Alligator mississippiensis: one gene and its partner. The protein of the gene in region 1 interacts with the protein of each later gene in a pairwise test. Links are inferred from orthologs where the notes say so. Each region holds a gene or a part of one and is shown in the gene's direction. Other genes may lie near its edges.

Region 1 (3,898 bases):
TCAACCTGTCCAAAAGGAGAGTGACCTGGGTCTGATGCAACAGCTGGATGTTGCATTTTAATAAAGTGCTGCTCAGCCTGTCCAAAAGGAGAGTGATCTAGGTCTGACACTGCCACTGGATGTTGCACTTAAAATGCTGTTCAACCTGTCCAAAAGGAGAGTGGCCTAGGTCTGATGCTGCAGCTGGATGTTGGAGTTTAATAAATTGAGTGACCTGGGTCTGATGCTACAGCTGGATGTTGCATTTTAATAAAGCGGTGCTCAGCCTGTCCAGAGGGAAAGTGGCCTAGGTCTGTCTGATGCTACAGCTGGATGTTGCATTTTAATAAAGCAGTGCTCAGCCTATCCAGAGGGAAAGTGGCCTAGGTCTGTCTGATGCTACAGCTGGATGTTGCATTTTAATAAAGCGGTGCTCAGCCTGTCCAGAGGGAAAGTGGCCTAGGTCTGTCTGATGCTACAGCTGGATGTTGCACTTTAATGAATTGCTGTTCAACCTGTTCAAAAGAGGAGAGTGACCTAGGTCTGATGCTGCAGCTGGACACTGCACTGTAATGGGGAGGTGTTCAGCCTGTCCAGGAGAGTGGCCCAGTCTGATGCTGCAGCTGGATGTTGGAGTTTAATAAATGGAGTGACCTGGGTCTGATGCAACAGCTGGATGTTGCATTTTAATAAAGTGCTGCTCAGCCTGTCCAAAGGGAGCGTGGCCTAGGTCTGTGTGATGCTACAGCTGGATAAAGTGCTGTTCAACCTTTCCAAAAGGAGCGTGGCCTAGGTCTGATGCTGCAGCTGGATGTTGCATTTTAATAAAGTGGTGCTCGCCCGTCCAGAAGGAGCGTGGCCTAGGTCTGTGTGACGCTACAGCTGGATGTTGCACTTGAAGGAAGTGCTGTTCAACCTGTTCAAAAGGGGAGAGCGGCCTAGGTCTGCTGCTGTAGCTGGACAGTGCCCTGCAATGGGGAGGTGTGCAGCGTGCCCAGAAGGGGAGAGTGGCCCGGTCTGATGCTGCAGCTGGATGTTGCACTTTAATAAAGTGTCCAGAAGGAGAGAGTGGCCCAGGTCTGCCGGATGCTGCAGCTGGATGTCGCCCTTCAATGACCCGGCGCCGCTCGCAGCAGCAGCAGAGACCCCCTCGCCCCCCCGCGCGCGCGGGGCAGCCGCCCCTTCCCCGCTGCCCCAGGGCCCAGGTGAGCGCGGGGGGCGGCGCTGTGTCCGGGCCCGCGCGGCGGCGGCGCCCCCTGGCGGCGCGGGGCGGGGCGGGCGGGCGGCGGCGGTCACGTGGGGCGCTCGGGGCCTGCTGCCGCCCAGTCAGAGCGGAGCGAGCCGAGGCAGAGACGAAGGAACAAGATGGCGGCCGGCGGCGATCCGGAGCGGGGCGCCGGCGATTCGGATTGAGCCCGTGCGGCCCGCGCCGCCCGGCGGCCGCCGCTCTCCCCGGCCCGCAGCCCTCGCGGGGGTGGGGGCCACTGCCCCGCGCCCGCCCGCCGGGGCGCCCGCCGCCCCGCCCCGCCCTTGCCTCGCCTTCCCTTCCCCCCTCGGCCAGCGCCCAGCGATGCGGGGCCGGCGCGGCAGGCCGCCCAAGCAGCAGCAGGCTCAGGCGAGCTCCCCGGCTCCGGCCGGCCCCATCGGCGGGCTGCGCTCGCGGCAGCGCGGCAGCAGCCGGGGCCGGTGGGCGGCCGCGGCCCAGGCGGAGGCGGCGGCGGCGGCGCCCAGGCCGAGGGGGGCGGCCCAGGCCTCTCCGTGCCCCCGCGGGGGCAGCAAGAGGAAGGCGGGCGGCGGCGCAGGCGGCGGCGGCCCCCCGAGCCGGGGCAGGGGCAGGGCGGCGGCGCAGGCGGCGGCGGGAGGAGGAGGAGGAGGCGGCGGCGGAGGAGGCCGGGCTGCCTCGTCCCGCAGGAGCGCCAGCAAAGTGGTGTACGATGACCACGAGAGCGAGGAGGAGGAGGAGGAGAGCGCGGGGTCCGAGGAGGACGAGGAGGAGGGCGACCCCGAGGAGCACCCGGGGTCCGAGGACGACGGCGACGAGGAGGAGATCATGGAGGAGGACGAGGACGAGGACGACGACGACTCCGACTACCCTGAGGAGATGGAGGACGAGGACGATGCCAGCTACTGCACCGAGAGCAGCTTCAGGAGCCACAGCACCTACAGCAGCACCCCAGGTAGCGGGGACGGGGACGAGGGAGGGTCCCGCTCCTCGCCGCCCGCCGGGGGGGGGGAGACATGCAAATCGCGGGGGCTGGAGGCAGGGCACAGGTGCGGGCGGAGCATCCTCTCCCGGCTCCGGCCCCTTCGCTCCCCTCCATCCCCTGCCCAAGTATTGTCCAAGATGGAGGTTGCCTCGCCGCACTTTGGGGAGGGGGCCCCTGCGCGAAACTCGCCCCCTAACTTCCCCAGGTGAGGCCGCCGCAAAGCCGGGACCAGGCTTGTAAAAGCGCGGCGTGTTTGTGGGAGCCTCTTCCACTACTTGGACATGACAATGCTTTCATTAAAAAAATTAGGGTTTTTTTTTTTTTATAACCCTCAGAGCTTTTTTTGGGTGCTTGGAGTTGCTACTGCTTTCATTTAAAACATGAGGGTTTTGTTTTGTTTTTTTACCCCTGCTGCGGACCTCGATAAGACCCTCGCGTGCTTGAAACTTGAACTCTCGCTCGATTGGGTTTTGTCAGTTGAGGGGGTTTCGGTTCGCAGCTCTAGCTCGCAGCACTTGGGTTCAGCGCCGATCCAGCTGTGCGTTTTAGTGAGCCGGTTGGGACACGGGCAGCAGAAACGGGTACGGTAGCATTCGACCAATTTGCCAGCGAGGTGTAGTGGGGAGATTGGCCGCTTCTGTGAATGTATGACACCGTATACGCTTTGTGGAGCGTTTGGGGAAGGAGGCACAGGTTACTAAAACGCACTGTTTGTTTTAATTCCTGGTGGGTTTAGTGGGTGCAGGCAACAGATGCCATCACGTGGCTTCACTAAACTTATAAAAAAAAAAAACACCACCAATCAATTTTTATTTTTAATTCTGTGTAGTTTTGTACGAATTATGGTTTTGCTTTTTGGTGTGTTTTTTTTTTATTGTGAATTGGGTAAAAAATGTGATCACAAAGGGTTTATAGTCTGTTGCAGGAAGCATTGTAGTTCACCTGTTGCAGGAATAGTACTGTGATCAGTTTGATTTCCTTCCCGTAGTTCTTGCTTTAAAGAGGAACTGGCGTCAAGTTAGATGCCACTACCGCTGTAAGCTGCTCTTTTCTTTAGTTATGGTAGGTAATAGGGAGAAACCAATCTCTTCTCTTTGGTCTAGGGAAGTATTTTTGCCCTGACTTCACTGGCTAGGGTTAGGGGAAAAAACCGCATGGACCTAAGAAAATATGAAGTTTAGGGATTGGGATGGGGAGAAGTGCTTGAGTTAGGTGGGTTAGGTGTTTTGACAAAGGACAAGTATTTATTCAAGTTACGTTGGTGGCATTTAAGTGCCTATGTTAAATTAGTATGTTTGATAAAAACTCCTATAAATATGTTTTTATTTAATCATGTTAAAATTTCAGTTACCATGTTAACCTTTAGTAATCTGAAATTTTTACAGCCTGAGCAGCCCTTTATAACAGAGTGGCCAAGCAGTGGCAAGAACTTCTGTCTGTCTTGTAACTTGTCTGCTATTAGTTCAGCTGCATGCTGGAAGGCTTTTTGTTAAGTTACTTTAACAGTTGTTTCTTTCTTTTTTCTTTAAAAAAAAAAAAATTAAAAAAAAAATCGTTACCTTCAGAAAAGAGGCAAGTGAAGAAAATGTCTTTTGCAAATGACACTACAAATTTTCAGCTTGGTTAGCTACAAGTGTGTCCAGTTCCTGCTAAACAGATACCTACCTGTGTCACAAGCAGTACTGCTTCGAGATGGCAGATTGGTTTTATCC
Region 2 (3,898 bases), on another chromosome or scaffold:
CGCCCCCCGGCAGGGCCCGCCCGTGCCCCTCCCCGGCCCCGCACCTGGCGGCCACGATGACGGCGTCGGGCTCGTCCCAGCGCAGCCCCGGCAGGCGCCGCAGCCCGGCCCGCGCCAGCAGGAAGAGCCCCGGGAAGAGCAGGCCCCCGGCCGCCAGCGCCCGCGGCATGGCCGCCAGGCCCGCTCAGCGGCGCGGCGGCCCGGGCCGGCGGGGGGCGCCGCGCATGGCGGGCTGCGGCCGCTCGCACCCGGCGCCACCGAGCGAGCGGGCCGCGGGCATGGGCGGGGCTGCGGCGTCACGCAGGGGGCGGGGCAAGGGCGTCGCGGGGGGGCTGCGGGTCGGGAGTGCGGGGCACCGCTCGGGGTGGCGGTGGGGGGCGGGAGCGAGCAGCACCACTGGGGCAGGGGGTATCTGGGGTGTCCCACAATGCCCCGGGGAGGTCAAGGTCAGGGGTGCCCCCCCGCCGCCCCAGGGCAGCGTGGGAATCCGCTCACGGCTAATCCCCGCCACACGGTGCCCCCCCAGCCCGAGTCACCCTGGAGTCACCTCGGGGGGCGCCGCCCCGTGGCTGCCCAGGGTCCTACCCCCGTCCCGCCGCGGACCCAGGTGCCCGGGCTGCCGAAATGCCCGGCCGGGCTGAGGAGCCCTGGCCGCCCCCCGCCCCCCGCCCCGCGCCCCGGGCCTGGCGTGCGCTTACTTGGCGGCGAGGTAGGTGGCGTGCAGCGGGGGCAGGCGCAGCGGCGGGGCGCGCGCCAGGCCCCAGCGCAGCAGCACGAAGAGGCCCGGGAACAGCGCCCCCCCCGCCAGCAGCAGCAGCAGCATCTGCGGGGCAGCGCGTCACCCTCAGGCCGCCGCCCGGCCCGGCCCGGCCCTCACTGCTGGTCCGAGCCCGCCCCGGCGCCCAGCCCCTCCGAGACTCGCAGTGCCCTCGGCCGGGTGGAGCTCACCCTCCCCGCGCTGCCCCAGCCCAGCCCGGGATCGCCACCCAGCCCCGGGCATCCCGGCCGAGCCGCACCCCCGCACCAGCCCCTCCAGCGCCCCACCCCCACACACACCAGCCCTGACCCCTGACCCCGCGACCCCCGGCCCCAAACTGCCCCCGCCCCCTGGCTGCGCGGACACCACATGAATATTCATGAGCGCGGACCTCAGGCTGGTGGGCCCTGCCGGGCTGCGATTGGCCGCCAGCCGCCCCCCCGCCCTCTCCGCCTCTCATTTGAATACTGGGCTGCAGCCTGCGCCTCATTGGGCGACCCCCGGGCTGCCTGGCATACATTTGCATCTCATTACCATGCTGCAGCACCCCCGGGCCCGCGTCCCGCCGAGGTGGTGTCGGCCCGCCCGGGCGATGAATACATTTGCATCTCATTACCCGCCAGGCCCAGCCTCCGCCCCTAGCGCCGGGCCTGGGCACGGGCCGGGCCGCCGGCGGAGTCCTGCATCTCCCGGGGCAGCCGCCTCCGCACGTCTGCACCGCGGTACCTGGCTCATCGGGGGTCCGGGCGGGCCCCTCATCTGCATACATTTGCATGAGGCGACCGGGGCTCGCCCGGAAAGGAGTTAGTGCCTTGTGACCTCGCGGGGCCTCATTTCCATATATTCAAACGACACCCCCAGCGAGGCGCTTGACACATTCACGACCTCCCCCCCCCCCGCCCCGCGCGAGGAATACATCTGCATCTCATTATCCCGCCCTCCGTGAATACTCAGTGAGGCTCCCCCTTCAGGGGACAGGCCCGAGGCGCGTCGCCATAGCAACAGGCGGGATCCCCAGGGCGCAGCGCTCATGCGCACACAGCCAGGTCCATAGGAGGCCCGCTTTCTACACTGCGCATGCGCCTCTCAGTGCGCCGGGAAGCTTGCGGAGGCAGGCCGGAGCGCATGCGCAGAAAGTGACCGTAGCCAAGGCTCGATAACGGGCGCGTAAGCTCACAGCGCATGCGGAATGGAAGTAAGCACACCCCCCCCCACCCCCTCCTTTGGGGGAAAGGAGGGAGGGGCGAGAATTGCGCGCTAGCACGCAGGCGCTGCATCCAGATAACGTTTCCTGCTCCCCTTTCAGACCCTGCCAACACGCATGCGCAGTCGACTCTCGGGTCCTGGCGGGGTCCCCCGCCGCGCACGCGCCCCCTGGCCGGCGCCCCTGATTGGCCGGCGGGCGGGCCACGCGCCAAATACAAAGAGGCGCGAGGCAGCGCGGGCGGCTGGGCGAGAGCTAGGCTGCGGCCGCTGGGGTTGAGCGTAGCGCGGCCAGGGACGACGAGGAGCGACCCTGGCAGCCGGACGCCTGCGGGCGGTCGGGCGCGGGCGGTCGGGCTGAGGGGCCCGCGGGAGCCCGCAGGGAGCAGGTGGGCCCGCGCCAGGGCGAGAACGTTCCTATGCGACTCCTCTCCACAGCCGGCGTCTCGCCGCTCTTCCCACCATGCGTTGCGGCGGCCCGACTAGTGCGCAGGCGCGGGCCCGCCCCTGGGCGCGGGAGGGGGGGGGAAGGAGGCCCGGCGCCATTTTCGTGGCTCGGCGCATCGCAGCGCCGCCCTTGCCGCGCACAGCCACCGCCCCTGCAAGGCGGGCCCGGCCTGTACCAAGTCCCGCGGGTGGGGCCGGGCGGGTGGTAGCGCCCAGCCCTGGCGGCCGGGGCGGCAGTGGGCCGGAGCGCCTCGGCGGCCATTTTGTGAGGGAGGGTGGGGGGGCCGCGACCGTTAGGAGCGGGCGGGGCCGGCGGCCAATGAGTGCGCGGCCCACGTGGGGGGGAGGTGCCGGCCAATGAGGGCGCCGCACCACCCGGCGGCCTCTCTCCCCCCGGGCGCGGTGCCGTGCCAGCCAATCAGCGCCGGCGCCGCGACCGCCCTCGCGCCGCCACCCGCCTGCTCCCGCCCGCCCGCTCCGCGCGCTCCCTCCGCCTCCCCCCGCCCGCGCCGCGCGCTCCCCGCCCCGCCCGCCGCCCGCGGGCCCGGCCGGGCCCCCCCCCCACCGACATGGACCCCGGCAACTGGAGCAGCTTCATCTTCCAGGTAACGGCGCGGCCCGGCCCCCCCCGCCCGCCGCGCCCCGGGGGGGCCGCCCCGCCCCCCCCGCCGGGAGCCCCGCGCCCCCCCCGGCCGCGCGCCGCGCCGCCCCGCCCCCCGCGTCACCGCCGCGTCACCGCCCCCCGCGCCCTCGGTAGGGACCAGGGTTAACGCCCCGCGTGTCGTGTCGTGTCGTGTCTCCCGTGCCGCCCGCAGAGCCACGCGCAGAACCCGCTGCCCGTGGGCGCCGACCTGCAGTCCCGCTTCTTCGCCGCGCCCGGCTGCGCGCAGAGCCCCTTCCAGGTACGTCCTGCGCCCGGCCCGGCCCGGCCCGGCCCCGGGGCCTCCTGCCCCCCGCCGGCTCGGGGCCGCCCTGGCCTCCCTCCCGGGCCCGCAGGGTCTGGCAGCTCTTGTGCGCGGCCGACAGGGGCCGCCCCCGCCCCCGCCTGGCGCCCTGCCGCCGCCGGGCCGCCCCTGCGGGCTGGGCCCTCGAGCCCCTGGAAGCGGGGAGCCCCTGCCGGCCAGGCCCAAGCCAGGCTGCACATTGCCCCCGCCCGCGCGGCCCCACGTGCCCCAAGGCCGCCAGCCCGCGTGGCGGGAGCAGCCGCGTGCCAAGGGGGTCCCTGAGATGAGATGCCCCCCTCTGTCATGGGGTGACCCCCCAGAACACAGGGGGCGGGGCCTCCAGCAAGGGGCGGGGCCTGACCGTGTCCCCTCCCCCACAGGCGGCGGCCGCAGCGCCACCCCCGCCCCCACCCTCGGGGCCACCTGAGGGGCTGCAGGTTGACCTGCTGCCGGTGCTGGCGGCCGCCCAGGAGTCAGCCGCCGCCGCTGCTGCCGTAGCTGCCGCCGCTGCCGCCGCCGCAGCCCAGACCCCCGCCCCGGCCCCCAC

Evidence for each region.
Region 2: the proteins of BPTF (region 1) and MAZ interact in a two-hybrid assay, tested with the Homo sapiens proteins (2 studies listed by BioGRID). The link is inferred for Alligator mississippiensis from reciprocal best matches to the Homo sapiens genes BPTF and MAZ.

Annotation. Positions count from the first base shown.
Region 1 is NC_081831.1:6,198,204-6,202,101, forward strand, and holds the start of BPTF (nucleosome-remodeling factor subunit BPTF), read left to right. Parts: upstream 1-1,336; 5' UTR 1,337-1,549; coding exon 1,550-2,156; intron 2,157-3,898. UniProt on the Homo sapiens protein: Regulatory subunit of the ATP-dependent NURF-1 and NURF-5 ISWI chromatin remodeling complexes, which form ordered nucleosome arrays on chromatin and facilitate access to DNA during DNA-templated processes such as DNA replication, transcription, and repair.
Region 2 is NC_081830.1:247,493-251,390, forward strand, and holds the start of MAZ (myc-associated zinc finger protein), read left to right. Parts: upstream 1-1,677; 5' UTR 1,678-2,976; coding exon 2,977-3,012; intron 3,013-3,222; coding exon 3,223-3,309; intron 3,310-3,731; coding exon 3,732-3,898. UniProt on the Homo sapiens protein: Transcriptional regulator, potentially with dual roles in transcription initiation and termination.